Arabidopsis thaliana: one gene and its partners. The protein of the gene in region 4 interacts with the protein of the main gene of each other region in a pairwise test. Each region holds a gene or a part of one and is shown on either strand. Other genes may lie near its edges. The genes, in order: AGP27, STE14A, AT1G14990 and AT1G15610.

Evidence for each region.
Region 1: the proteins of AT1G15610 (region 4) and AGP27 interact in a protein complementation assay, tested with the Arabidopsis thaliana proteins (one large-scale study listed by BioGRID).
Region 2: the proteins of AT1G15610 (region 4) and STE14A interact in a protein complementation assay, tested with the Arabidopsis thaliana proteins (one large-scale study listed by BioGRID).
Region 3: the proteins of AT1G15610 (region 4) and AT1G14990 interact in a protein complementation assay, tested with the Arabidopsis thaliana proteins (one large-scale study listed by BioGRID).

What each region holds. Positions count from the first base shown.
Region 1 is NC_003074.8:1,927,342-1,934,606, forward strand, and holds AGP27 (arabinogalactan protein 27), read left to right. Parts: upstream 1-1,526; 5' UTR 1,527-1,634; coding exon 1,635-2,012; 3' UTR 2,013-2,343; downstream 2,344-7,265. Other genes in the region: MEE32 (dehydroquinate dehydratase, putative / shikimate dehydrogenase), read right to left, coding at 139-360; NHX4 (sodium hydrogen exchanger 4), read right to left, coding at 3,497-3,859, 3,960-4,043, 4,142-4,343, 4,418-4,519, 4,613-4,713, 4,793-4,859, 4,952-4,998, 5,065-5,259 and 5 more. UniProt on the Arabidopsis thaliana protein: Proteoglycan that seems to be implicated in diverse developmental roles such as differentiation, cell-cell recognition, embryogenesis and programmed cell death.
Region 2 is NC_003076.8:7,847,030-7,854,987, forward strand, and holds STE14A (S-isoprenylcysteine O-methyltransferase), read left to right. Parts: upstream 1-5,555; 5' UTR 5,556-5,725; intron 5,726-6,164; 5' UTR 6,165-6,170; coding exon 6,171-6,252; intron 6,253-6,338; coding exon of another isoform or gene 6,339-6,345; coding exon 6,346-6,932; downstream 6,933-7,958. Other genes in the region: PFD5 (prefoldin 5), read left to right, coding at 310-399; PYRD (pyrimidine d), read right to left, coding at 763-837, 931-1,030, 1,120-1,157, 1,257-1,394, 1,588-1,617, 1,699-1,887, 1,978-2,233, 2,321-2,644 and 2 more; FSD3 (Fe superoxide dismutase 3), read left to right, coding at 3,595-3,681, 3,780-3,869, 4,148-4,339, 4,428-4,599, 4,701-4,774, 4,853-4,879, 4,968-4,991, 5,087-5,212; AT5G23330 (Nucleotidylyl transferase superfamily protein), read left to right, coding at 7,165-7,361, 7,541-7,593, 7,687-7,822, 7,957-7,958. UniProt on the Arabidopsis thaliana protein: Catalyzes the post-translational methylation of isoprenylated C-terminal cysteine residues, resulting in the modulation of the function of prenylated proteins. Involved in negative regulation of abscisic acid signaling.
Region 3 is NC_003070.9:5,164,020-5,172,050, reverse strand, and holds AT1G14990 (uncharacterized protein), read left to right. Parts: upstream 1-3,786; 5' UTR 3,787-3,899; coding exon 3,900-4,018; intron 4,019-4,171; coding exon 4,172-4,253; intron 4,254-4,348; coding exon 4,349-4,465; intron 4,466-4,526; coding exon 4,527-4,556; intron 4,557-4,646; coding exon 4,647-4,697; 3' UTR 4,698-5,020; downstream 5,021-8,031. Other genes in the region: AT1G15010 (mediator of RNA polymerase II transcription subunit), read right to left, coding at 408-836; scpl50 (serine carboxypeptidase-like 50), read right to left, coding at 2,104-3,438; CPN10 (chaperonin 10), read left to right, coding at 5,397-5,501, 5,588-5,727, 6,070-6,121; AT1G14970 (O-fucosyltransferase family protein), read left to right, coding at 7,134-7,514, 7,704-7,773, 7,878-7,945.
Region 4 is NC_003070.9:5,367,079-5,374,777, reverse strand, and holds AT1G15610 (uncharacterized protein), read right to left. Parts: upstream 4,022-7,699; 5' UTR 3,986-4,021; coding exon 3,594-3,985; intron 3,518-3,593; coding exon 3,392-3,517; intron 3,313-3,391; coding exon 3,099-3,312; downstream 1-3,098. Other genes in the region: AT1G15620 (uncharacterized protein), read right to left, coding at 302-530, 633-758, 843-1,225; AT1G15600 (uncharacterized protein), read right to left, coding at 5,017-5,194, 5,298-5,426, 5,500-5,855; AT1G15590 (E3 ubiquitin-protein ligase), read right to left, coding at 6,546-6,573, 6,815-6,940, 7,019-7,404.

The DNA of each region.
Region 1 (7,265 bases), on a different chromosome or scaffold from region 4:
ATCAAAGTCTTCATCCAAAACTAATACCAAATTTATTTGAAGCGATAAATCTGCAAATTCATCATTACCTATCCTTCTCCAATAAAAACGGAACAGAAAACAACAAAAGAAAACTGAACTAAAGGAAGAATCACTAACATAGACATTGCTAGGTTCCATGCTTCGCCGGCGCCTTTGATCGGAAAATACCACCGGAAACGGTACACTCCTTAGCCGCGGGGACGAAGAATCGGCAAAGAAGCGAGTGGAGAAATCGGCGGCTGGAAAACGGAGATTGGCGACGGAGGTAGGTGAAAGTCGGGGTTTGGAGAGTAGACGAGGAGGGTTGGTGAGACGAGCATTAGTTGAAGAAGCTGCCATTGAGAGGCGACAAACAACAACGACCCTTTGCGGCTTTTTTTCACAACTTTTATTGGATTTCTAAATTTTGGTATTTTTAACGTTTTTATACGCTAAAAAATGGTAGGTGAAGTTTCGATTAGGCGCAAAAAAAAATTATTTATATCTCCTTTTCATTTTCTGATATTGACAATTATATATGTTTGTTTAAATCATCAAGAGAAAATTCGTTATCTGTAATCTGAAGTTAAGAATTATAGCAGAACAAATGACATCAACAATATGTGATTTTGTTCACACAAAAAAGAAAGTCAAACAAATAGAGGTCAGCAAGTTCTTGAGTCTTTAACTACACTGGTGGCCATTGTTGGGCATGCAATGTAGAAAACTCAGCACGTTTTGCACTACAATAGTGGGCTGCGTTTTTTGGGCCCATAGGAAGCCTCTTTAGTGGGCTCGAATTGCATAGCAAACTAAAGAACAATAAATAATAAATAATAATAATAATTCCCACACACCACAAAGCTTTTCTTAACTCGCCAATAAACTTTAGTACAAAAGACAACAAAATATTTGTTTAGGAACAACCCAATATAAAATGTGCTTTTTATTTGAACATCCAACGAGGCAACAACAAACGTAATTAGACCATCTCCATTGAAGGTATTTCATAAGAGTTTTTCACAATTAAAAAAATAAAAATAATGAAAATGAAGGAGAGAAAATGTAGAAAGTTTCTCACTTGAAAAATTTTGAGATATTCTCTACAACCCATCATGACAATTCTCATCTCACTATTGATTCAATTTTTTAACAAAATTACTTTTTTAATCAAATAATTAAATTATAATATAATATTAATATTTTTTTTGTTTTAGAAACTTTGTAGGTTTCTCATGGATGGAGATGCCTTTACTCGTACTTAGCAATATGTATAATTTGCATTAACATAATATTTTTCAGCAAAAAGTAAAGCACATGTTTATTCGAAAATATGTGCAATATATAAGAGCTTCTACTAAAAAGTGAAAACTCGATCTACGCCCATCTTCAAGAATTCAGCAAATATATTTTCTTTTCCACCGAACACATCCTTTAAATTGATAAATAATAATCTTTTTGGAAAAAGGTGAGACAAATTCCATTTAAAATCAATTTATAATATTTTACTATTAGAGCTAAAAGTTTTCTTTTATAGAGACAGTATCATTATTACAACACAAAATGCGCTCTCATCAGTTAAGGAAAAAAACAACTCAGCTTTGATTTGTTCATCATTACAGTAACCAAAAAAGATGGCTTCATCTATATTGCTAACACTCATCACCTTCATCTTTCTCTCCTCACTTTCTCTCTCTTCGCCGACGACAAATACAATCCCATCTTCGCAAACAATCTCTCCCTCTGAAGAAAAGATCTCACCGGAGATCGCTCCTCTCCTCCCTTCACCCGCCGTCTCCTCCACTCAAACCATCCCTTCTTCTTCAACACTTCCTGAACCAGAAAACGACGACGTTTCCGCAGATCCTGATCCCGCCTTCGCTCCATCGGCTTCTCCTCCGGCTTCATCTCTTGCTTCTCTGTCTTCTCAAGCTCCCGGAGTTTTCATCTACTTTGTCTTCGCCGCCGTCTATTGTTTCTCGCTCCGGCTTCTTGCCGTTTCAGCTATATAGGTCATTCATATATTTTAGACCACGTACGTCATTATTTTCATGAGTTTATTTGTCCCCTAAAAATAACGAATAAAATTAGATTTAGTTTGATTTTCAATTTTTTTTTACTATTTGTATTTTTTATTGTTCTCCACTTAACATTTTGTTACAGTTTTAGATTGGTTTAGATGAAAAACGCAAGTAATATATTACGTCAGAACCACATAATTGATGCATAATTAACTTAAGAACTCTGGATAAAAATAAAAATAAAAACTAATTTACCGTTAAGTGATTCAATACACTTTGAGGACTTATACTTTTCTCTTCTTTTCATTTCATTTGTTCGTTTACTATACACTAACTTTTTTTTTTTTTTTTATCGCTAAGCTAAAGAACCTTTTGAAAAAGTTGAAATTACGTTTCAAATTAAAGTGACGTCATATGCATGCTTTACAGTATACTGCAGTTTATAGTAGTATCAAAATCAAACGTTCCAAAAATTTGTACTGTTTACATGCAAATAACACTTGAGTAATTATATGTAGACTACTAATTAATTTCGACATAAGTTTATGTAAAACACCAGTTTTTTATGATTATTTTTGTCTTAATCTTGAGACGTGTTTATGAACTGAATGAATGTATTACTTTGTGAATTAACGTATTTAAGTATAGTGCATTATTGCATAATTCCTAAAATGCCACAAGGTTAGAGGCGCATGCATGTGAGTTACTGCATATGCTGGCCTCACGGCTAAAAGCAACAACAAAAAAAGGTGCCTTCTTTTCTTGTCCCACACTTTATCTTATTTCTGGGGTTTCAAAGTCTCAATATTAAAATTAATAATATCTAGGTGAGAAGAAATATGTAAAGGACGTTTCTTGTTTTCACATTATAGGGTTTTATGCGTGAAAGATTGTATATGTTACTATAAGGTTGATTGATACCCACTCACTTTGTCCTTATATACGTGCAAGCATAAAAATAAGATTAGATTTCTCAAAAGTTATATTTATATATAAGTTATCAGTTTATTTGTATATTGTCAACAAGTTTCTTGCAAAACCCAGTAATAAATTATGAACATTAGAAAGATTCGTGTCCCTTTGTTTTGTATAAGAAGTACAAGAAAGTGTACACAAACTTTAGATTAAAAAATCTGCTCACGTCCCACCAACGCAAACTCGAATCTCCAAACGCAGACGCTAACGTCTGCATATGAGCTAGGTGTACTCAAGTCACCCCTATATCAGTCCCTATTTACATGGACAGTTACAATTTTTCAACAAAACCACAAACTCAAACAACGAAAAACGGACCGGCTTTACAAAATCACACCACAAACCAAAAAATCACACCGGGCAAATAAGAACTCACATCCAAAACCATTATACCAAAACTGGAGGCAAAAAATTAGAGCCGGCCCATGTTGCGTCTGCGTCCAACAACGCCAAAAAACGCGATCAACAAGTCAAAGATCTTACTCATGTCATTATGGTCATCAAGGTTCGCCGTTTTGTTCCTTGTTTTCTACTTCTTCACTCCATTGCGGAACACTATTCTCAATGGGTGAACCTGGAACTACTGGTGAAACGCCTCGGCCACCAAATATGCGACGCATAACTGCGTTATCGAATTTCCTCCAGTAATGATGAATGGCCCTGGACGGAGATTTCCAGAACATTCTGAAGCTAACATGTTGTTCAGGGTCGTATTCTGACTGGCCTTGGGTACTGAGCAACGGCTCATGGAGGATCGGATCGTGGAAAGAAGATCTTAGTGTGATCTGCAGCGCGGTCGTGGAGGACTGTTTTGATGAAGGCTGCAAATGTTTGACTAACGGTTTGGTTAGCAATCCAAACACCTGCAAAAAAGGTTAGAGATTAGGTTACGTGTTGGATAGGCTAAACCCGATTTGACTTCAGTAGGAAGCAAACCGGTTTGAACAAAGTGTTGAAACGTACCACAGTACTGAAAAGAACAACAGTGATGGTACTGGTGATCATGATAGCGTTCCCAAGAACCTTGGTGTGTCCTGAAGTTGTGAACTATGATGTAACAGAGAGAAGAGATTAAGTCATGGGAACTTATTAAAACCCAAAGATCACTTTTTTATCTTTGTTTCTTGTAGTTCACGGATCAAAACCTGGTTATAAGCAAGAGCCATTGACACTGCACCACGCATCAGACCAGCCCACCAAATGGTTACTTGTTTCTTTAAGTCTATTTTCTCATCCGGTGAAGACTTTGTTAAATTGGACAAGAAGGAAAGTGGAAACACGAACGCGGCGCGACCCAGAAGAATAAGCCCAAGAAGTATTGAACTAACTCCAATCGACTGACCAGGACTGCCAAAATTGTTAAACAATATTATGAAAATGAAACAAAAGATATTGATGTATTATCACACTCTAAGTCTCACCTGTTGCGTACAACGTCCCATTTCTCGATATCGAGAGCGTCCATTCCAACGTAAAGGAAGATAAAAATCTCAGCTAGAAATGACATTGCAGCAAAAGTATGTCTACGCCAAGAAAACGTATACAGTTTAGTCAATCAAGCACAACAAATTAGTAGAGTTATTTTCTAATTATTGGGAGAAGAAAAAGAAACTTACTTTGTAGTGACCTTGGATTTATCTGTAACATTGTGCCATGTATAGTGAGACATAACAATCCCGCAGAAGAACACAGTCAAGATAGAGCTCAAGTGGAATAGCTGCAAAGGATATATGTATCATGTTTTCATTTTCTGTTGGAAAAAATGTAACCAAAACGTTTCAAATTTTTCTTATTACCTCTGCCAACATATATGATAAGTAAGCCAATAGCATCATAAGTGCAACTTCACGATCAGTAGAGTGCCTGATGTTACAAAACAAAACAAAAACAAAGCAAAAGGATTATTAAAGAAAGGGTAAAATCACATTTTTAACCATCAGTAGATACGAATATACCTTCCTATATAGAGCTTCTTGATAACAAAAGCACTGAGCAATCCAGCCTAAAAGAAAACGAGTGAGAATTTTTCGGGTTTAGAAATTTGAGGAGCGGAGAGAAAGAAACTTACTGCAACACCAAGTGCTGTGCTTAAGATAAAGAGGTAAAAAAAGTTTCCAGCAAACTCCAAAGCTATGGCTGAATTGATATTTGTGAGGTCGAATCTCTGTATTGCATTGAAGAGCACGACCGATGTGGCATCGTTCACTACACCTTCTCCAAAGACAAGACTGTACAAGAGAGGTGTCTCGTCTTGATTAAGCACCTAGATTTAACAAAGCGTGCAAGTTAATTTTTGATTAGAAAATGTAGTAGAATAATATCTTTGAATGTTTCAGAAAAAAAGTTCTTACTTGCAAGGTGCAAACAGAGTCTGTAGCAGAGAATATTGCTCCAATGGCTGCAAAATCATCAGTACAGATTTAAACAGTATGAGACTTAATGAATAAGAACTTGAAAAGGGTTTTCTTTGTTTCAGGGTACCTAGATAGTCCGCAATGGTAAGATCACCGATATTCATTTTCTCGAAAAGATGTTTAGCACCTAGCCATAACAAAAACAAAACCGGAAACATCATCAAAATATATGAGACTCATGATATTGAAATGTGGGAGTTGATTGAGATTGGTTTTTTACCAAATGAGATGATAACAAATGAAATGAGAGTTCCAATAGCACCAAATAACATAATGGTCATGAAGTTGCGAAAAAATTGCTTCTTCTTAACCTGAAACCTGTAACAAAAAAATGTGTTACTCAATTCCGACTTTCAATTTTTCATGAAATTCTATATAAAAAGAACTTACCCTGCGTTGAATATAATTGGTGGAAGAAGATAAATAAAGAAGAGATCTTCACTAAACACAAGAATCCTTGAGCTTTTGCCTCCACTTATAAGCAAGATCACAATCCCAGTACACGAACCCTATTTTTGCGTAATCCAAATTTAGAATGTTTCTAAGCAATGTGTTTAAAGATTTGGGGAAACAAAAAAAACGAAGCTTACAATGATAAGAGCAGTGATTGACTCGTTCATCCACCGAGTCTCCTCAAGCAAGTGACCAAGCACGATGCAAGCACAAAGCAAAGCTACGAACAAATTCATGGAGACGACCGATGCATGATCAGAAGCGAAAAGAGCCTCTGTTTTTTCCAGCATTGTGCTTAATCCGATCACCATTTCCAAATCTCAGCTTTAAGAGTATATTTCCTATATATATGTAAAAAAACACGAAGCGTGATTTGTGGAATTTAGATTTCTGATTGAATTAGTATCTAAAATTGTATAGTTTCCTTCTTTAGCCGCCGAGAAAAATTCAAATCACTAAAATTCCTAAATAGGGGAATAATAAAACATTCCAAAATCATAATGTTCCAGAAGAATCAAAACCCTGGAAAATTCCAAGAAAATTTGAAAATTCCTTTAGAGTTTGTGTCAGGAAACATGTAATTTATCAATCTTCATCAACAAGAGCTCAATTTATCACCTCCATGAACAGTAAAAGGATCTAAATTAAAAAGCATCCACAGAAATGTTTTTAAGAAAAAATCGATAAAGCATTCAAACACATATTACCTGGCAGAGTTATGACGAGATTCGAAAGATCGAATGATTCAGTTTGGTCGTAGAGAGGGATGTAACAGTTCTGTTGAAGGGACAGCAAAGAGACGATCGAAGACGAGAGACCGCCAAAGATGGCGTAAATATATAAATAAAGATTTTTTTTGCAGAGAAGCCAAGTGGAATAGAGAGAGGTCAACGGCTTTTAAATCTCATATTAGCTAATCTCCATCGTCTATTTATCCATCTCAAGAACTTTATTCCAATTAAACGGTTGAGATGATTTTGTTACACCGTTGTTATGACCGTAAGTGGAATTAGCTCATTGGTTATCATGTTGTCGTGTAAAAGGAGTATCAAAAAACAACAGAGGGGAACACGCTTTTATTTTTCTTATGACCAAATGTAAATGATCTTAGGATTATTCTCTTTTTAGGAATAAAACTGAATAATATACTGTTTGTACTGTATTCTTTTTATGGCACCGTATTACATAATAGCCAAATACTTCCTTAACAGAACTAAATTACGTACTTTGAATGATAACCAGTTTCATAAACTGACCCCAAAATATTTATTTGAATTATATTAATTGTGATAGATGGGGGTTGTTCTTTCTTATGTCATTCGACGTTTACTTGATAATTAAATATAAGTTGGTCATTTTTTAATAAGGTTTCCACGAATCTCTGATGAAAAATAAATACCAA
Region 2 (7,958 bases), on a different chromosome or scaffold from region 4:
GTTTTATGGAATGCAAGTACGTAGTCAGAAAGCCCTTTGGTTGATCCTTTCCTGCATTGTCAAACACTCCCTAGTCCCTAGAGCCATACATGATACACTAAGTAGAGGTCTGAGTATTGTTTTCGTATAAAGCAAAATTCAATGCTATGATCTCACGTTTCCTTTCCATTTGCTTCAATAGTTATTGAAATCAAGTGCATCATTGCCAAATTGTTTCAATACTCTTTTATTTTGAAAACCCTATTGTTACTGCTGTTTATCTCACCTGAGATTTTAGTTATAAACTTCAAAAATGTTCATTCAATGCAGGTCGCAGCGAAAAAGAAAAGCGTGGCAGATGAAGCTGGAATGGTCTTGCAGGCCAAAGTTAAACAGTTAACAGCTGCAACCACGTCGTGAAAATTATTCCTTCTCTAGTGCTTTTTGCTATTGAGACTATTTTGAGATTGCAAATGATTTTGTCTGATCAGTTATGTTTTGACTCTTTTGATCTCAATCGGCTTGTGTTTAGTGTGCTAGAAGAATTTGTGCTGTAATTTTAAGTAATCAGTAGTGACTATGAGAAAGAAAAGACGTGTTAACTAGTTATTTCTCATAAAACGTGAGAAAAGAGACAAAAGCGATGATGTTATTGGAGGCAAAAACGATGATGTTATTGTTGGGGGTAGAAAGAGACAACTGAATCAATGAACTTTAAATACAACTTGTTTTGTTGTTTTAAGAAAAGGGATCTTTCCGCAGCGTATTGCTCTTTGAGTTTTATCATCTGTGATCAGCACCAATTGCTTCATGGATCGACTTGAAGCCATCCCTTTCTAAGCATTTCACCAGTTCCTCCTATTGCAACAACAAGACATGAATATTAGTATCAATCTGACCTCAAAATACAGCATATGTATGTTTTTGTGTTCTTTATGGGGAAGGAGATACCTTTATTTGTGGGATGAGGGCAGGTCCTCCATAGGCAAATCCCGTGTACAGCTGAACAAGAGTAGCTCCAGCTCTTATTTTCTTGTAAGCATCCTCACCACTAAAAACACAAAAGATTCACCTTAAATCATTTTCTTGTGTTTCTTTTGTTCTTACAACTAAAGCATCAGAGGTATGTTCGACGTTTACCTACTAACCCCGCCACAGCCTATCAATGGAATCTTTCCCTAAGGAAGAGAACATGAAAATATCCAAAAACCCATCAGAAAAGGTTTTAGTTCATTGGTCGATTAGTGGATCATCTTTTTTTTAGGATAAGAACTTACTCGTGTCAAAGTGTACATATCTCTCAACATGTTGGTGGAGAGAGCAAAGAGCGGTTTCCCGCTCAAACCACCTGTTTCTGTTGCCACGGGGTTGTTGCTTACAGCATCAGGCCTTGAGACTGTTGTATTTGATATGATCTATAGGACCAACAAAGACAGTATCATCATCATCATCGAAAGCTTTTATGATTTGCAACATACCATACGTACAATCGAAAAAAGAGACTATTCTAACACTTTAATCGCTTTTACTACACTACGTTAAACAGACTGGAGGCTTCATTGATTGACACTGATGTAACATAAGTTAGTTCATAAGAGGATAACTTACCAGCCCATCCAAGTGCAGAGCAAGAGCCACCTACACAAACCAATACAATGTTGTAAGAACCAATTACTTGAAAACTATAGAATGTGTTTTAGCTTTTTTAGTACTACGTACCGCTGCAATATCTTCAAGCTCTCCTCTGGACAGATCAGGAGCAATCTTCACAAGAAGAGGAGGAGGACCTTCATCACCCCATTGCATCTCATCCCGAGCAGCTTGAACCTTCTTTACAAGGTCCTTCAACTGTTTCCTTCCTTGAAGCATGCGCAGTCCTGCAGTATTGGGTGATGAAACATTGATCACCTGAAGAGAAAAATGAAAATTAGGAACAAAGAATTCTACGGTGGATTAGATCAAATTCATGTTCGATATATCATGGTAAGAAGTTTGTACCAAGTAATCAGCATACTGGGATAAGTTATGAACTCCTTGGACATAGTCAGCAGCAGCATCCTCACTCGTCTTGTTCTTTCCAAGGTTGACCCCAAGAATACCAGGTCCAGATTTTCCCCCTGGTTTTACATCATCACTTGGAGATGACGAAGTAGCTGATGTTTCAGCCAACATTCTTTTACCATGTTGAGCACCCAACCGCTTTGCAACGACAACAATCCCTTCGCTATTAAATCCACACCTATTGATAATAGCTCTGGGAGGACCAAAATATAAGTCTTTTAGTTTAAACTATCTTGCTTCTTCAATCATTGAAGGTCTTTTATAGATTAGAGATTCTCACCCTTCTTGGCTTAGTCTGAAGATACGTGGTTTCGGATTGCCTTCTTGTGGAACAGGAGTTACAGAGCCTACCTCAACAAAGCCAAATCCCATCCCTAGCAGTCCCTCAGTAGCCTCAGCGTTTTTGTCAAATCCAGCAGCAAGCCCAATTGGGTTTGAGAATTTCCTTCCCCAAACTTCAAGTCCCAAGATTGCTGGATCAGGCCTCTTTTCTCTAGGTACCCACCCGCGAGCTGCAGCTGAAACAGCCAGCTTATGCGCAAACTCAGCATCCAGAAGAGCAAAGAAAGGATTCACAACCTTTGTTGCGTTGAATAGCCACCCACTGTCCAACACACAAAATAGGTAAGAGGTAAAAAACAAAGTGACTTCCTCAAAGTAACTACAAGGTAGCCTTAGCAATGTCAACTAACAAAGAGAACAAAAAGACTAAGTTTCAGGGCACTTATTAAGTAAAGTACCAGAAGGTTGCTTCATCTGCAGTACTAACATAAGCTCCTCCAGCTATGGCCAGACCAATGGTAGCTCCTGTCAATATCCTTCCCTATAAATTTTCAAAGTCAAACACTTTGCTCTTGTAAAATGAAATAGCATCAATGATCTAACTCTACTACACCAATTAATGTGCCATATTCAGATCAAAACAAGAGTTGCAACTCCTTATCTTAAGGAATAAGATTCCAATATGATTCGAATAAACCAAAAATGAGATTAATTTATCAATAAATTCATCAAAGCTACTCACTCTCTTGGAAAAATGAGGGACTTTCGGTGCAGAAGAAGCTCCAGGAACCGAAGAACAGTTACGGGTAGCTCCAAGAGGATTAGACGAAACCCTTCTGAACAAAAACTCTCTCGCCCATTTCGCCGACGACGTCGCAGCCCTTCCGGCCATTAGGTAAGATGATTAAATCGACAGTGGAATCAAACAGAGTTCGAAAATGGTTGCTTTGAAATCTATAAGAAGAGGGTTTTAGCCTTCTAGCTCACGGCTTGAATCTTGATAGAGAGAAAAATATACGCTTTTTGTTTGTTGTTCGGTTACAAAGGATCGTCAGAGTATTTGCTAAAACCCTTGCTTCCTTCAGGTTGATCTTTCCGGTTCGATTTACCGGTTTAATGTAGTTAACCGGGGTAAAATCTTATATGTTAACCGGTTTGAAAAGAGATTGATAAGGAAGGCCCTTTCTCTGAAAAAGCGAGACCAAGAGTGCGAAGTAGCTCTCTGTCTTTCGAAGCAGAAGTGAGACTTTGACGACAACAGTGGGAGGAACTATGAGTTCTTGTGTTGTGACGACAAGCTGTTTCTATACAATTTCAGATTCTAGTATACGTTTGAAATCCCCCAAGCTCCTCAATCTGGTTCGTTTCTTTGTGTGACATGGAAATTGCTGTGGTTCTGTTTCACATGAATCTATCTCTTTTAAGCACTAAAGCTTTCAAATTTCGTTTCCTTATAGAGTAACCAGCAGAGAAGACGCTCTCTTAGGTCTCGAGGTGGTTTAAAGGTTGAAGCTTACTACGGTCTAAAGACACCTCCTTATCCACTTGTAAGTGCAAATAAGACTTTGGTATTTGTATTTGGATTCTAAGTGTAGTAACTATGTCTTGCTTCTGTAATCCAATTCTGTTCTCGACTAAGCACGGAACTGTAGAAAGTTTGTTAATTTGGGTGAATTGTCTTGTGAGTATAGGAAAGATTGTGTCTTGATCTGTGTATCTTCTATCTTGCAAAGTAGATGTGTCTTGATCTTTAGGGCCTTGGTGATATGTCAAAGAAGATGGTATAGTTGAGATTCTAATTAGAGTTAAAAACAAATGTGAATAGGATGCTTTGGAGCCGTATATGAGTAGAAGAACACTAGAAGTGCATTGGGGAAAACACCATCGAGGTTATGTAGATAATCTGAATAAACAGTTAGGGAAAGATGATAGACTCTATGGATACACCATGGAAGAGCTTATCAAGGCTACATACAACAACGGGAATCCTTTACCCGAGTTCAACAACGCTGCACAGGTACTTTATATTCTAAGTAACTTGTACATTATCACCCGAGGCACACACTAATGTTGGAAGGATTGATGATGATTATGTTGTTGTTTAGGTCTATAACCATGATTTCTTCTGGGAGTCGATGCAACCTGGTGGTGGAGACACGCCTCAAAAGGGTGTTCTTGAGCAGATTGATAAGGATTTTGGTTCTTTCACAAATTTTAGAGAAAAGTTCACTAATGCAGCTCTTACTCAGTTTGGTTCTGGATGGGTCTGGCTTGTCTGTGAGAAACTTGACTAGCTTTTCACTTGGTATTAAACTGTAGAATGACTTTGAAAATGGAAAATTTTGATTCTCTTTTTGTTTTTTTCTGGAAAATTTCAGTAAAGAGGGAAGAGAGAAGGCTTGAGGTGGTCAAAACCTCAAACGCCATTAACCCACTCGTGTGGGACGATATTGTATGTTAGAGTTTTATTAGTTAGTTTTCTTGTTGAACTTAATGTTACCTCTTGATCACATCTCTTTTGTTGTTACAGCCAATCATCTGCGTGGATGTGTGGGAGGTACACCATCTCCTCTCTTCTGTCATTCTTCCAAGAAACACTTTGAAACATTTTCTAATATCTTTCGTTTTCTTATCTTACTTTGCAGCACTCTTATTATCTGGACTACAAGGTAAAAACCTAGCTTAAATTCCGACCATTCTGTGTTCTTTTTGTTCGTTCAAAAGGCTAAATCAGTGTTTGTTTCTTTCTTTCTCCGGTTGCTAGAACGACAGGGCTAAGTATATAAACACATTTCTGAACCACTTGGTGTCGTGGAACGCTGCCATGAGTCGGATGGCCCGTGCAGAAGCGTTTGTGAATCTTGGTGAACCCAACATCCCAATCGCTTAAGCTAAACACAACTCCTTGGAAACTTGGGCAGTCTCATTTTTGCAAACAGAGGTCTCAAGTCCCAAGTCCCAACCAACAAAACAAGAGTTGCTTTCTGAATGTGACCCATCTTTTTGTTCTGTGTAATTTAGCGACAGTTTTCTCTTCTTTTGCCTTTTGAGAGACTCTCTAGCTTTAAGATCATCAGTGAGCCCTGTATGGTGACAGTAATGTTAGTGACGCAATTAACCCTTATTAAGTTATAATAAAACGAAGGCTGGCTCACGTGACCCGCACGTGACTGAGAGTATCCGTTTCCTCTTCTTTCTTTTCTTCTTCTTCTTCTTCTTCTTCGTCTCCTGACAATAGGGATTGACACCATCGTTCACTTCAACGTAAAGGTATAAACTTTCTTCCTCCTTAACGTCAAAGTTTCACGCGATCGTCTCTGTGGAACTCCCTCAGCATCGGGTAATTCCCTGATTTTCCCAACTCGCTCTCGCGGAAACTCTCGATTTCGATTGGGCTCTTGAGGTTCTGTTCATTTCCTCGTCTATGAATTTTCTACAATTGATTAGGAGTCGTGCCCATAACTGCGTGAGTAAAAAGGGAAAATTTTCTTAAAGATAAGCAATTTCAAGCTTTGTGTTCGTGAAATTTATCCTTGTATGAAACTTGCAATGCGATTGTTGTGTTGGTTGGTGGGTTTTCTGTAAAATCTCAATGTTCATGTAGGACCTGGGTTTTGGCAGATTCAGTGCCATAAAGACTGTAGTGTTAGTCCTCATATTACATTTGTATGGTTGCTAAATGGTCAAACTGATACTAGTATAACTCAGAGATTACAAGATTTATTTGGATCAAGATCATATGTTTCCTTGATGCCAAAACTAATTCATTGTTAAGATTCATAAAATCGAGTATATAGCGAGTTAACGTTTACTTGAATTTCCTCGTTCTTTATCCTTTGTAGGAGGTTATGCAGTTCTTGGATCCCCTGAGATTTGTTGTCAAAAACCAGCTTCCATTACTGATACACTATGCCTCCGTCTCATTCTCAGGTCTGTTGTAGTTCTTGAAACAAATTATCATAAGCTTTGATCAAACAGGAAAGAAAACCTCTTATAATCTTTCTTGATTGATAAAAATGACAGAGATCTTCAGTGACACCAGCATCAGACAGTTATCTCAAATGCTACTATCACTAATCTTCTTCCACATATCCGAATACATTCTAGCCATCACCATTCACGGAGCATCAAACGTAACTCTTAGTTCGCTTTTAATCACCAAGCATTACGCTTTAGCAATGCTTCTGTCGCTTCTCGAATACCTAACGGAGATTATCCTCTTCCCGGGGCTGAAACAACACTGGTGGGTCAGCAACTTTGGACTCATAATGATCATCGTTGGGGAAATCATCAGGAAGGCAGCGATAATAACAGCGGGAAGATCGTTCACTCACCTCATAAAGATCAACTACGAAGAGCATCACGGGCTTGTGACTCATGGTGTGTATAGACTAATGAGGCATCCAAGTTACTGCGGTTTTCTCATCTGGTCGGTCGGGACACAAGTTATGCTCTGTAACCCCGTTTCAGCAGTTGCGTTCGCGGTTGTCGTGTGGCGGTTTTTTGCTCAGAGAATACCGTACGAGGAGTATTTTCTGAATCAGTTTTTTGGGGTACAGTATCTAGAGTATGCAGAGAGTGTTGCCTCTGGTGTTCCATTTGTGAACTGACACTTGAATTATTTTTGAACATATGAGTTTGATGTACTTGACTTGAGGTCTTAAAGTCACAAAAACATACAAGACCCTCTGGCTGAAAGAGAAGGTCTTGACGTGGATATGAAATTTACCACAGCGTTAATTGTTTATGTGACACCTGTCACCGGTGATGCATAGCTCCGGCGAAGAGTTTCGGAGAACAAGTTTGGTCTTTTTAGGGGTTTGAGCAGTGGAGTCGGTAACCATGTTATGCGGAGGCTCTCGCGCCTCCGTGCATTTGTGGGACCATCGTCATCCTCCTAGGCTCGGTGCTAAGGTTTTGCGGAAATCTTCGTTCATGCTCAGACCTTGTTCGGCTATATCGCAGCAGCGGATAAAGTCGTCGTTTAGGTCTCACTGTAAAACTCCAAGAAAAATCCCAGCTCCTCTCGATTGTTTCAGGTTTTTGAATCTCGCTGTTGTTTTGATTGTTTTTGTATCCGAATCTGATTGTTTTATGTGAAATTTCCTGATGAGCTTTAAGATAGAGATTTCTGTTAGATGTTCTTCACTATGTTCTACTCAAATTTTCAAAATTGGAGTCTTTACTAAAATATTTGGCTGTAATTCTTCTTTCAAAGCCAGGGAGATGATCATCCTGAGCTTTCAGCTGAAGGGCTTTCCCCAGTTGCAGGTATCTGTTTGTCATTCAAGTTTCAACTGCCTTCCATCAGTGGCCAACCTTTATATGACCTTTCTGGATTATGAATTTGTTTTGAATTTGCAGGAGGCATTGTTGCTCTAGGGAAGTTTGATGCCCTGCATATCGGTCATCGAGAGCTTGCAATTCAAGCTGCAAGAATTGGTACTCCGTATCTACTGTCGTTTGTTGGATTGGCTGAAGTACTTGGTTGGAAGCCTAGGTAATTTCTCCGTCTACCTTCCCAATTAACTTAACATCCCCTTGATCTAAGTTACTTATAATCATTAGATCATGACTCTACTGATAAAGTTTTTTTTTTTTAATCTGTATGTGCTTCTCACTTCTATTGAACAGAG
Region 3 (8,031 bases), 200 kb from region 4:
AAAGATTTCAACGATTATAAGAAGACGTAGGATTCGGTATTCGCAGAGAATCAACGAATTCTTCACGTTTTTTCGTTTCTTGTATTGAGAAATCAACAGATCTGAGAGACTCTAGTTTTCCGGTATTCCGAATAATCAACGGATCTCTAGTCATATGAAGCAAGGATTTTCTTCTACTACTTCACACTGATTACTTTTTTTTCCTAAATCATATGAAGTACGGATTTTTTTTATTTTTATTTTTCCAAAAAAGATGAAATTAGGATTCTTTAAACAAAATCATTATAGAATTTCTCAAGGTATTTGTTGATAATAAATAATTCCATTTTAGTTTTGGAAAATTACCTTAATTTCGACATAAAATAACAAAGATAGTTTCTAGATAAAATAACAAAGATATTTACGGATCATACTACGTGAACGGCGTCCAAAAGCCAAAGAGCTAGATCAAGGATGCGAAAAGCAAAAACGGCGGAGGAGACGGGAACGCTGACGAGGAGAAGAAGACACGTTCCAAACGCGACGCTGGGACGAGAGTTCATGAGAAAAGTTTGGAGAAGAGTGAGTGCATCACATATAGTAGCGTCGTAGTTGCAGTAGAAACGTTTCTCCCATTGCATCCAATGAGAAGGAGGTTCAAAGTTGCGTTCAACCATCTTCATCTCATGGATTCGTTTCCTAAGGACCACCATGTTCTCGTCCACCGTTCTTCCTCCTCTGTAGTAGTCTGCACACACGGTGGTGGTTCGTCTTCTATTGGTTCCGGTGGCGATTCTTTGTGATGTCCTCAATGGATGGAACCTGAGTGTCGATGACGAGATCAGTATCATTTCCATTTTCTGTTGCTTAGGAGACACAATTGGTGGGATTATTTATAAGTTATATTTGGATAATATTTAATAAAAACGGCTAAGGCTGCTTTAGCGCGTTACCTTATCGTAATATTGATGGGGTCACCATCGATCACGTTTCCTTACAATTTCACTTTTGTTTCTTCTCAATTTCAGCTTTACACGTCTTTTACAAATTTGTCGACACGGCCAAATAAAAAAACATCAAACATGAAGCTCCGATGAAAAAGATGGATCGGTGTTAAATTGGAGATATCATTAAATGTCAATCCCATTAACGTACTATCCTCATAATTTATCAACCAATAATTATATGTACATTGACCTCTCCTTTGTTTACATCCAAAAAACGTACGAATCAATCCATATGATTAATTAAGGAATCATGGGGTACTCTCATACTTAACATTAATTTAAGAAATAATGGTGAAGTGATGTCTATTTTTTTTGTTTGTTCTAACAATGGTGAGGTCAAACGATGGACATAGATTATACACAGTAGCCCAATGGGCTTAATAGTTACCTAACTCTGAACCCAATTTTTTCTCGGCCCAACTAAAAGGATTATCGTCCGCCCTAACTCTCCTAATTTCGCACTATAAAGTTGCGAGTTTCACAGGTTTTAGCAGGAGCCGTCATTAGGGTTCCAATGAATTTTGTTTCAATTTTTCGATGTTCTGAATATCATTCTCTCAACAATTAGGCGAAAGATTGATTTTCATATGATTAGTAGTTTTCTTTCTGTTTTCCGCGAATGTTTTTCCGAGAAAATTGAATCGGGAAAGAGGCAAAAAACAGGGGAGAGATTTTGATAAATAGCTCTGAAATACCTGTAGGTTTTCTACGGGGTGCCCTTGCTCTTCTTTCCCTAATACCAAAATGGCTTCATAGTACGGGTTTCTTTGTGCTTTCTCTGTGTTTTGTGTATTTTTTATACTCAAATCACTTTGAATCTCATTCACAATCCCGCCTCCAATCGCCATTACATGTTTTTAAAAATTCTTTAGTTTATGCTTCAAATCTCCTTATTCTTACCAAAACAGTTTATCTGAATCAATCCTTAAGTGTATACTGTATGCTAACTTTTTTGAGAAAGTTTAAGACTTCAGGAACAGGCAAATGATAAACTAAGTAGCAAAAGTTACCAATTCGTACTAAAATGAACTTGTGAACATGACGTAACAAATCTAAATCCAGAGTACAATTAGAATCTGAATTGAATCTTACAGAACTAAGTACAAGTACACAATATTTAGATTGAATGGTATAAGCTCGACGAAGTTGTCTGCTTCACATCTTTACCACCGAACAATCCTTTCCCCAAAACCCAACCTTCAATCATATCCCTTGAATTCACAGCTTTATCTGTCGGAACAAAATGACCAGCTCCTGTAACCGCCACGTGGCACAAATTCCCCCATCTCTGAACATAACCAGCGACCACACCGTCTTCATCCTTCCACACACGCCTCTCCGCCGTCGAGAACATTCCCAATCCTGACCAGTTCATAGTCTTCATCCACTCCTCCGTCGAAACGACGCCGTCTCTTAGATCAAGCATACCTTGATACAGCAAGACTTGAGTCCTCTCCAATGCGTACTCCACCATGAACTTTACGCTCTTCATCACGTCTGCCCGCAACACATCTTCTACTTCATCACTACATTCCTCAAAACGAACCGTTTCACTCACTCCCAAAACACGTTTTGCTTCTCTCTGGTTCAAGAGGTCCACCACGAGGTCTGTTCTGTATGGAATCGCCCGTGCCGTGTTGTAGAGCGTCGCGAGTCCTGTCATGTTACTTAGTAGCGTCAACAGTTCGGTCCTCGCGTCTGCTGCTTCACGCCATTTCTGGGACTTCACGAGAGCTACAGATATCTCCTGCGCTTTTTGCAGTTCAACTCTCTGTTTTGCGTTGACCAGACCCGAGTAGTAGACGTTGACCGCATGGGTTTGAACCTGGGTCACCGGGTCGGTCAGCCCGTTTCCAATGGCTAGCCCCTTTAGATTCACTTTCCCATTGGGTTTCTCTTTAAGGATATAGTATCCAATGGCTGGAACGTACTTCCCGGCGTAGCTCTCTCCAGTGAAGTAAACCGGTCGGTTTTCGAAGCTTGGGTTTTGTTCAAGGAACTCCACGAGAGCGGCGTAAAGATGCTCAGCGACCTGTCTCTGATTTGTGGGTATGTCTTGTTGTGAGGCTGCGATGCTGAATCCGACTCCTATTGGGTTATCCACAAAAAGTAGTCCGAATAGACGGTTCCATGCGCCGGGGTTGCGCTCGAGGTCTGTGGCGCGTGAAACTACACGCCAGGGACCGAGCTCGTAAAAGTTGCCAATCATTGAAGAGCAGCCTGGCCCACCTTGGAGCCAAACGAGGAGCGGAGTGTCAGGAAGAGGTGTGGTTGGCTCTTGGGCTTCGTAGAAGGCATAGAACATGGACGAGCCGGGTGCGGGTTTAACCGGGAGGTAGCCAGATTTAGTGGGGAGAGCTTCATCGGGAAATAGCGGTGGCTGAGGAGACTCAACGGAGACGGCGAGGAGGAGAGTGGAAAGCAATATGAAGAGTGTAGTGGCTTGCTCCATTATTTCCACTAATTGGTGACGCCTTTACATAAAGATCCCTTTGTATTATTTCATTTATTTCATTATTTGACTGCAAAACATTACGTTTATGTTTTGTCTTGTATAACATGTGAATTTTTAAATGTGTAACAATAACATTTTTGTCAAGACGTGCTTGCTTACTAACCTAATTGCATTAACATGTGAGTTTTTTAATTTAAAGGTTTTTGTTTGTAGATGATTTTCCATAATGTATATTATTTTAAATTTATTGTTGCCAAAAGAAATAAAATCTAAAAGTTTTATTGGGCCGAAAAGAGAAAAAGGTCAGATAGGCCCATAAAAAGTTGGACAATACAAAGCGTTTACAATTTGTCAATTGCAAATTTCGTGAGATGCTTCTTCTACTCGTCATCTCTGTTTGGTAAAGTGATCACAAGGTGTTCGATATAATACCTGAAAGAGTTTCCGAAGGTGTGAAGATGATGATCTTGGATGTTTGCTCAGAGGTTATAAAGATCCAGAAGCTACGACGGGCTGTCTCTTACGCCGGATTCTACTGCTTCACTGCTGCCCTCACATTCTTCTATACAAACAACACGTAATGTCTTTCGTCCGATCTCAGTTTGCTTCTTTTGGTTGTTCTTTCTTTTCAATATCGGAATTCGCAGATGATTTCAATTTCTGGGTTCTTCTCTTGGTTTCTGCTTCAGGTTTAATTTGATTTAATGTTACTGATTCGAATGTTGTGTAGAACAAGAGCAGGATATTCCAGGGGAGATCAGTTTTATGCATCTTACCCTGCTGGCACCGAACTTTTGACCGACACAGCTAAGGTTTGTCCTTGATGACAATTTTGAGTTGTCGTTTACAGTTTATATAGTTGATTAGTTCTGTGTGGAACTGATGATTGGGGTTTATTGGAGTAAAGCTGTACAAAGCGGCGCTTGGGAATTGCTATGAATCTGAAGATTGGGGTCCTGTTGAATTCTGCATAATGGCTAAGCATTTTGATCGCCAGGGAAAATCTCCATACGTTTACCACTCCGTAAGTTTCTTCAATCTCTTTATGATAATCTCTGTGGTGCGGATATTTTAGTGTTGTAAAGGTCAGTTTCCATAAGTCTAGAATCTTGATGGTACTGACTTTGTGGTGCCATTGATAGAAATGTTTGTCGAATCATGTGGGGTTAGAACCAAGAATTGAGCTCATTTTATTGTGAATGCAGCAATACATGGCTCACCTTCTATCTCAAGGCCAACTCGATGGAAGTGGCTAGTGGCGCCAGCTCTCTTTGTTTCAGCTTTGTGCCTAATCTTGTTATAGCAAATTCGAATCCTGGTATCTTGGAACATTTGTATGGTGTTTGTATAAGTCCGGAACCGTACCATTGGCTTACATGGATTATTCAGATTTGTACTCTGAAAATTAAGAGCATGTAATTCCCGCAGAGGCACAATGTAATAAACATATAGCATAGCAAAGCAACAATCCGGGGAAAAACTTTGGTTACCACCTTGAAAGAAATGGGGAAAACTGACAGAGCAAGAAGCTTTCCATCATCAGCAGAGACGTTTGATAAAAGAAAGGTCAAGATTTCATTCCACGAAAAATCTGCCGAAAATAAACATCTCATTCTGGATGTGGTATATGAAATGGGATTGTACATGGAGTTTGAAAAACTTGGCAAAGAGAATCATGGAAGGAACTAACCATTTGAGCTGCAAGGTCATACAACACTTCCAAGAATTTATTTAGACAAACACAAATGCGACTGGTTTTTTTTAATGAGTGAGGCCCATTAAAGAAATAGTATGATATTATAGGCCCAAACAATCCCAAAACCCTTGGCCTTTTTCTGTCGCGCTAAACCCTACGATCTAGAACCTTCCGTCTTATGTGTCTCTGCCCCAAATTAAAAACTCAGAAACCCTAGAAAATTCCGATTCATCAACTGAGAGAGAAGAAGAATTGAGAAATGATGAAGCGTCTGATCCCAACGTTCAACCGCATCTTGGTGCAGAGAGTCATCCAGCCCGCTAAAACCGAAAGCGGCATTCTCCTACCTGAGAAATCCTCCAAGGTAAAAGAGCTTTGATTTCACGATTTGATTCTTCTGATTTTCGCCTCTTAGATCTGAAAAATAAACATATTTTTGGGTGATTGCAGCTGAACTCAGGCAAGGTGATAGCTGTTGGACCTGGATCAAGGGATAAGGACGGGAAATTGATTCCGGTCTCTGTGAAGGAAGGCGACACTGTTCTTCTTCCAGAGTACGGTGGTACACAGGTCAAGCTCGGCGAGAACGAGTAAGTTAAACCCGCTTCTTTCTTATTATTGCCCTAATATTCTGATAAAATTCTGATCTGATCTAATTGAACCTTTATGTTTAGCTAATCATGTTCAGGAATCATTATCCATTAATTAGATTAATGGATGGAACTAAGGGAATTACTTGTAAGACTGTGAAGATATTGAAAATTTTGTAACAGAGGATTTAAAAACATTTTGATCAATGTTTAATAATGCCAATTTGAACACCAGATTTACATATTGATTGGTGGGTTGATTTTAGAAACGAATAAGAAATTACAAATGAAGAAGAATTTGACTCAAAGTGAGTAACTTTTGTGTTTGTGTGATGGACGCAGGTACCATCTCTTCCGGGACGAGGATGTTTTGGGAACTTTGCACGAGGATTGAAAAGGCTAAGCTTGCCAACTTAACCACGAGGGTTCATGTTGGTGTTTGTGTTATGAGGAGAAGTCATTTATAAATTAGTTTATCTTGAAGATGTGGTTGGACTTTGTTGTCGTTTATCATTGAATCTACCTTTATGAACCTGTCTTTGAATTTTTACAAATGGGCATCAATCACATGGATAACCCAAGTGTTGCATCTTCTCATTTTGTGCTTTTCCGTAATCTGTGGATGCTTTTCGTTTACGTTTAGGCAGCAACTTCAATAGCCAATGTAGACGATAGCTTAGTTGACTTTGCTTATTCATGATCATGCTATAACAAAAGAAATAAGCTCATTTGGCCGCATGGCTTTTTTTATATAGCATCTCCTTCTTCACATATTGACAACTGAATCAGGTCGAGAAGTAGGTCCATGTCTATGCATTCTGAAAGTTGTGTCTTTTGATTTCCTTTTCACAATGGTTGGAAAACTACTAATTTTGGATTTTCAGTTGTTTAACCCACTCGTTTGGATGATAAGACAACTGTAGTATATTGTCTTGTCGCACCTTCAAATTTAGTATAGGTTGGTTGATTGAAAATATTTCATCTTTCTAACCAAAAACTGAAAAATGTGTATGAAACTCATTGCTATTTTTGGACAAGTCTCTCTGCCAATACAAATTAGACCATACGTAGAAACCGATGCATTGAATTCTCACGTTTAACAATAGTTTTCCATAGAAACTGAAATCAAAGAATTGAAGAAAGAAAAAGACTAAAGAACTATAACACATAAGAAAAGCCAAATAAATACTCAAGTACATGTGATTAATCGATCATGCTTCCACCGCACGAGCGCATACATACATAACATAAATAAAATTTCTCTCTCTTTTGCTTACTTCACTCACAGTTTCGCCGCCGGGATAAATCCGTTCAATCGGCGTTTGCCACCTGCCATTGTTACAAGCAATGCATTATATCGTTAATGGCGTAGCGCATTGAGAAGAGAGAGAGAGAGCAGGGAAACAATGATTTCCCAGGTGGAGAGAGATCTGTCGATTCAAAATCGGCTTCCGGGAAGCGATCACACTACTCCTTCTCCGCCAACATCTCCTCATCTCTGCCGGAGCCGGTCGAAATCCTCCTCTGTCTCCGGGCAACAGCAAAGTCGGAACGTCGCTCACCGTCTCTCATGGATCATTTTATCTGTTCTTCTCCGGCGTCAGGGAATTCTCCTTTTCGCTCCTATCATCTACATCTCCTGTATGCTTTTTCACCTACACGCGGCGTCGTTTGATGCCTCTCCCATTATCCACCGCCGTCCTGCTCCGGGATCCGTCTACCGGAGCCCTCAGGTTTACGCTAGGCTTCGCGGCGAGATTGAAGCCGATAATACCACGGCTGATGCGGTGAGGTTTGCCTCCGTTTTATCCCGCTTGTGATATCGTTTTGAGAATGTGGCCATTGTCGAACATAGATTGATCCAATTAGAGTATAATATCTAGGAGAACGTATAACAATGTTGAACATAGATTGATCTCTGTTCTTTTCTTGTTCCCATTTGTCATGTATCGTCAATGCAATTGTATTCATTTAAGATATCAACAATTTGGAAGCGTTCCTATAAAGGTGTAGAATGGAAGCCATGTGTGAACATGTCTACTGGAGGTATTTTACATTGTTCTCCTAGTTTCTTCGTTAGTGTTCTTTGTCCTAAGTAATAAGTTGAATCAATTAGGCTTTCTTGTTGTTGTTTGTGTTAACAATTGTAGTTTTACCTGTGTCAAATGGTTTCATATTTATTGAGGCAAATGGAGGCTTGAATCAGCAGCGGACTTCGGTAGGTTAATCATCTTACATCAAATTGATTTTTTTCACACAAGCCTTTCTTGCTATTGTCTGGCAAACTTGTCAAAGGTGAAGCTG
Region 4 (7,699 bases):
AATTATAGTATATTCTACAATGAAACACAAAGCATTGACTGTTTCAAATTATTTGGTGAAATTATTATTTTAAGACCAACTACACCAAAACCAATTATATAAAGTCGCTTTTGTTTATTGAATTTGAAACACAAAACATAGACCTTTCCAATTCGCTGGCGCTAAATTGTTCTTTTATACCAACAATTTCAGGAAGATATATAGGATTCAATCGTGACACTTGGCTTTATTTGATAAATAAATAGAGTATTACAACATTTTAAACAAAAGAAAGAAGAAAGCGACATGATCATTCTTCTTTTTATCTGCATAAGCATCTGGAACAACAACCACAGATAATGCAGGCAAAGATTCCAAAGCATAATAGGATTATAGACGTAGTCAAATTTATCTCATCAGTAATGTCACCAACGAAGTCTATCGATTGGGAAAGATATAGTATCATAGGATACAGAAAACAAACTCCCGCACAGGGGAGATTACGAAGAACATGTAGAATGCAGCTGATAGCAAGGAAAGTCATACATAACCTGCAAAAGGAAAATGCAGGGTGGTATTATTAGAGAGACTTCGTTAATTTAGTCTGTTTTCGGGACACGAATATATAGTTATAATTTTCTTCTGATGCGCACCAGAACTGTTGCGTAGTATTATCTATAGATGATGAGTTGTTGATAAGATGCCATAAAAGCACCACAACCCAACCCACGAAGAAATATTCAAGCATCTTTTTCAAAATGTCCACCACCTCGTAGATTCTGCAAATCAATAAAACCACTATATCGGTTTCGGTTTCTAATGCCTTTAAAACAAATAATTAACATACAAATTATAGTTTATACCTTGTCTCTGTGCTAACACTTCGGTAAGAATGCCAGAAACGCAAACCTAGAATAGGGAGTGTGGCAATACAGCAACCGGTATAACTGAGGATCAGTGTAGGAAACATTTTTTGTGGAGGTTGTTCATCTTTTGCCAGAGTCAGAACAACAATGGCGGCAACAATCTGGACTAAAGCCACAACAAACTCGACCAAAATACAAACAGTGGTAAATGTAAATATATCACTCCATTGGACACCCTCATGCGGTCTTTTCTCATCAGCTGATGAAGGATTGCCATTGGTTGTAACGTCGACGATGTGCTCTTCATTTGAAGAAGAATCGCCATGGATTGTAACGTCATCGACGATGTGCTCACTCTGAGTCAACAAAGGGTCCTCCATTTATCACTTCTGCTTTCTTCTATTTTCCCCAATCGAATTAAAAGTCCTTATTAATCCGCTTTAAAACACAGAGCACATAAAGCCATCTCCAGTTCTTTGGTGCTTAATTATTATTTTAAGACCAATCTACGTCGAGATCTATTCTATAAGTCAATTGTAATATTTCGAAGTCGTCGTTCGGTTCTAAATTATTACTCCAGATCGACATCATTCGTAATCCTAGGTCAAATATAATTCATATTCATTCGACGTTTAATTACAAAGCACATGTTGCGTTTAGTTCTTTCGTGCTAAGAAGTGTCTAAAAGTCGTTGTAAAATAAAATTAAAAAAAATGAACAGTCGAAAAGTCAATTGTATGAAATTAAATGCATAATCGAAACTTTCTATTAAATATAAAATTCATATTATGATAAAAAAAATATGTATTACAATTCTTTCTATTTTGTTGAAATCGATTATTTAAAAAATATCTTTAAAACTTCAATTTTCAGAATTCAAATAAAAGTGATCATTAAAACATTACAATTACCTTAAACAAATCGGATGCGAACGTAACTGAAATGATATCTCAATAATTGAACCATATCTTAATATTGCAAGACAACGAATCTGAAGTTGAGCATAAACAAACGGAAAGAAAATTGAACTAATAAAACCTCTATGGTATCAGGATTAAAATTTGTATCCTAACCGTAACCAATATCAGATCAAACCATTCATATATATATTATTTATTTTGTTTTAAAATAAAACAATATCATATCTATAATTTTGGTATAAGAATTAATAACAAATTCTTATACCCAAAAAAAAACATAAAAGCATAGATATGTCCGATTCGTTGGAGCTAAATTATTATCTCGAGACCAACTGACCAATTCCAATTCTACGTTAATTATAGTCATTTATAATAAAATGGTTATGATATTATTTGGTGCTAAATTAGTAGTTTTTTTTTTTTAAGTTATAGACTTAAAGTGAAACACAAAGCCTAGACGGAACCTTTTGTGCCATTTTAAGACCAATATACAGCATCATTAATCTTTTAAAAGTCAATTAAGTTAACTTCCACGTCGTTATGACAGCGACAGTTAATGGAAGGTAGCCAGAGAAGTCACTGAAGAAGAAGGTGGTTCTTCAAAATCGGATCATATTGATGAGATTAAATTGTTTGTTGTGCAGAGGTATTGGCGCACAAAGATCGAGTGTTAAATTGTTTAGTTGAATAAAAGTTCGCAACATTGCACTACATTTTGATGTGTGCTTTAATTTAAAGGCTACCTCTGCTCTGCATGCGACCATTCAAGTTTTCATGTATTATTCCACTCCATAATTGACCCCCAAGGCCCCAACTGATGCAAAAACACTAATATTTGGTTACGGCTGATTTCTTCAGTCATATATATGTGAAAAACCAATTAATGGTCTTCACACTCCCATATAGCAGGTTATCTATTAGTGCCCTTAACCGAACCCGATCGAGATTGATTGAAGTCATATCATCTCTATCAAGTAGTTATCATCTTCAGGTTCCTTGTGGGTTGTTTGATAGCATAAGAACATATATGTTATGGGTGCACTCTTAAAAAGAATTGTCGGGCGTGCCACATGCTGTCTCAACATGAAGCGCTTCATCAAGATGGCCAAAGAGGCCTTTTACAATAGACAAACCAGTTGTACATGTTGAAATGCAGATACTGAAATGTTTATCTTGCTGCAGAGATATTGGTACAGAGAAGCCTTTAGTTTCAGTTTTGCCGGCCATTTCAGGAATAGAGGATTCGGTAATGCTAATGACACTTGGCTTTATTTAATAAATAGAAAGAGAGTATTACAACAATTGTTGAAGAAAACAACATGATCCATCATTTTTATCCGCACATTCCAATGATCCACGAAAAGGTTAACGCAAAGAGTCCAATGATGACCAAAAAGAGTGAGAGTAACGAATTAATCATCGTTACTATGGCGGCCACAAGTGCAGTAACAAGGGACACCCCAGGCAACATGAATAACTGTACGGTAAATTGGAAATTAGGAAGCACATATCGAATGCAACTGAAAGCAAGTAGACCCAGCCATAACCTGGAAAAGGACATTTGTTAGTTCTAGAGAGGTAAATTATGTTGTTTAGCCATAATTGTAAATTTAGTTAGATGCGCACCAGAAGTGTCGACTAGTATCTTGACGTGATGATGACTCGGTTAGAATATGCCATAAAGACACCACAATCAAGGACACGAAGAAAGATTCAAGAAAATTTTCCAAACGGTACTCCATCACCTCGTTGCTGCAAATCAATAAAAACCATTGTTGAGGATATCAGTCTCTAATGCCTGAAAAAGAAAAAGAAACACAGTTTATACCTTGTCTCTGAGCTAGCGTTTTGGATATACTGCCATAAACGGCAACATACAAAAGGCAAAGTGGCAATAGAGGCACAAGTATAAAAGATGATCCATGTAAACAAAGCTACATCTAGTTCTGGATCTCGTTCATCTTTTGTTAGAATCAGAAAAAATATGGCTGCAACAATCTGGACCAAAGTCACAGCTAACTCGACCAAAATCCAGAAACTTCCACTTGTAAATGGACAACTCCATTGAAATGCCTCATGTGGAGTTTGCTCATGATCAGCTGATGACGAACCGCCATTGATTGTAATGTCGATGATGTGCTCATCATTTGAGGAAGAATCGCCATGGATTGTAACGTCTTCGACGTTGTGCTCACTCTTGGTTAACAAAGGGCCCTCCATTGATCACTTTTTTGCTTTCTTCTATTTTGTCCAATCGAATTAATAGTTCATCTAAACAAGCGTTGAAATACAAATTACATAAAGCCCTCTCCGATTCTTTGGTGCTAAATTATTATTCTAAGACCCAATCTACGTCAAGATCTATTCTATAAGTCAATTGTAAACTTCTAACGAACAAAAAAAAAGTTAGTCATTCTTCTCTAAATACGAATAATAGACATTTCCAGCTATATTATTATCTTAAGACCTAATCGACACCAATACCAATTCTAAGTCAATCACATAAAGTCCTTTACAATGAGTAGACTTTCGGAGCTACATTTGTTTTGTGTGTTTTTGTTTTACCTACACCAAGACCAATTATTAGTCAATTGTAGCCCGTTAGAGTAAAATTTCAAAATATTTGGTTCTAAATTATAGTCTTCCTAATTCTTTGGTGCTTGATGTATTATTTGGGAAGCTAGAAGAAGTAATATGTCTTTTTTGTAAAAGGAGAAATCTTTGGTGTTAAATTTTATTATTTGGGAAACTATAATATTTTATTATTTTTCTTAGTTATCTTATCTTTGGTGTTAAAGTTATCTATATATCCATTTCGATTTACCCAAATCTGTCAAAATAATAAGGCCTATAAAAGGTTATTCTGAAACACGTGATTATTTGGGTAAATGTCACAATGAGGTAGGACTCGACTCGAAATAAGTCAGATTTTAAAAAGCCCATTAAAGTACGGGCCCTTAAAATACATATCTGAATAGCGAAAACGCACGAATAAGAATGGTCAGTCAAAACTGTCATTTAATGGAGAATAATATTAACGAGGGAGAAAAATAAAATAAAAAGAGGAAATAAGACGAGATGATCATATTTGATCATTTCAAAAAACCTTAGCTACTGTTTTTCTCTACCTTAATAAGATTAAAATCATCAACATGAACACAAAACATTTTTATTCTGGTACTCTGCTTTACTTTGATTTTAAACGCCCATTCTCCTAGGCTTACAAACAAAATATTTTTATTAGTTCGATTTCAGCAGATGCATGATACAATGCATGCTACAATGCCTTTTAAGACTTCCACAGCAAGGAGAACACATATGACCACAGGCGTAAGTAAAAGCAAAGGAGTAGTATAACAGACCATTGCCAATGTTAGATTAAAAAGAACATATCTAATGCAACTGAAAGTAAGGAGAGCCAAACATAACCTGCAAAAGAGACAATGAAGAAGGCCAAAGGCATGAGTATAAGAAAGGTCAATATATACGTTTTAAGGTATACATATGATTGGAAATTTCGTTTGATACGCACCAGAAGTATTGAGTTGTAGTATCATCTAGAGCTGATGAGTCGAATGCTTTGGAAGAAAGAATCCATAAAAACACCACATACCAACCCACGAAGAAACCCGTCATAAAAAAGTCCATATCCTTGTTGATTCTGCAAACCAATAAAACCATTATATCTCAATCTAATGCATAAAAAGATAAAAGAAAACACAATTTATATATACCTTGTCTCTCTTAAGTATTCATCTGTAGATTCGGAGCCAACGCTTCGGTTATAAAGCCAAAAACGCCAACATAGGATAGGGAGAGTGGCAATACAGCCACATGTATAACCGATGATCCATATAGACAACATTGTTTGTGGATGTTCTTCATCTCTTGGCTCAATCAGAACGATTATGACCGCAGCAATCAAGACCAAAGTCACAACAAACTCGATTGAATTACAAATGCTTTCATTTGTGTATGGATCACCCAATTCAACACCCTCGTGTGGTTGCTGACCATCAATTGATGAAGAACTACCATCGCTTGTAATGTCAATGATGTGTTCACACTCGCTCAACAAAGGGCCCTCCATTGATCACTTTTGGTTTTTCCTATTTCTTGCCGATCAAATGAAAAGTTCATTCAAATTTGCGTTGACGAGCACAAAGCATATACCTTTCCTTCTTTGTTGATAAAATTATTAGTATTTTTTTAGACCAGATCAATACTAAGTACGTATTAGTCGTGTTACAAATAAAACATTATTTTGAAAAATGAAGATCAAAGCTGAGATTTCAATGTTTATATATATTGCAGATGTTTTGGACAAGTTAAATTGTTAATAGGTCAAATGATCTGTATGATATTTATTTTCTGTTTTAAGACAGACAACACAAGAAGACAGGATCGTATCTTTCAGTTTCCCACCACTTTTGTTTATTGAATGTGTACAATTACTCTTGAGCGAAAAAAAAATAAAAAAAAAATCAACCTCATCTCATCACCACCTAACTTGTGATTGACAGAGAGGGCATGTGGATTTGATTTTCAGCCATTTGTCTATACATTGCGAATGAAATACGTGTGAGCATTCAAGTTTCCTTAGTCCTACTCCTTTTTCCTCTCCATATTTCCCCAAGCATATGCAACAACTCTGCACACACCATCAAACCATGAAAATTAAACAACAACAACAACAAAAAAATGCTATTTAAAACAGAGTAATTAATGTGATATGAAATTATTACTCACATCATCATGGCTCGGTTTCTTGAAAACAAATCTACCTCCTATACCTTCCCTTACAGAATCTACATCATTTGATTTCAACTTATCCACATCATAGATATGAGAAAAAAATGTTCCAAACTCTAGTGAACATTAAGCGAAAAAAATACCTGCGCATAATAGTAATGCATATGCAAATCTAATGCAACTGAAAGCAATGAAGACTACACATAACCTGCCAAAACATAATCAAGAAGACAAAAGTTAGTACTGATTAGTTAGGGTTTAACTAAATCTCTACTGTGACATGATTGTGAGTCAAACCTGTAGAGCTTAGGAGTATCAGAAGAAGATGAGTGTCCATAACAAATCCATAGAATCCCCATAACTAACCACACAACAAAGAAACATTCATTCCCCATCTTCAAAGCATCCATTACCCTATCCGTTCTGCCACCAACAACGGTTCGGTTTGATTTAGCTAATTAAACTCTTAATGTTAAGTGAAACAAGTGTTGTTTATTATACCTCGTTTTTGAGTAAACACCAATTCGGTTGTATTTGCGGACACACGAGAGGAGAATAAGGAGCGTAATGGTAATACAGCCACAAGTGTAACCGATGACCCATGTTAACAAAAGTGCTTGTTGATGTTCATCTTTTGCCAGAGTTAAAACTATTAATGATGCAACAATCTGAACCAAAGTGACTACTAATTCCATTATATTCCAAAGACTACCACAGTCTCTCGTAGATGAACTTGCACCTTCATCTGACGATTCGTCATCCGTAGACAGAGACGAACTTAATGAAGGATAGCTTCTCTCGTCCAAAGACGATCTTGATGAAGAATCTTCATCGTTTGTAATGTCGATTATGTGATCATCATTATCACTGTGGGATTCGCTGTCCATTATCACAAAGTCTTGTTGTGTTATTCATTGGCTAAAGCCAGCCGACAATATATTATACGCAATTCTACATGATCAATCGAAAACTAGAAATTGTGTACAAGGAAATTTGACTAATCTAGCTTATCTATCAACATGTGAACATTCCAAAAATGTACTATTGGAGATACAAAGATATGGAAATATCTATGAAAAATGGAAATATATCCCGTAATTGATATTTTGATCAGTTCTGTTTCTATTTCGTAACAAATAATGACAAAAGTATGGTGTACATGTGTAGATTACGTATGATGTA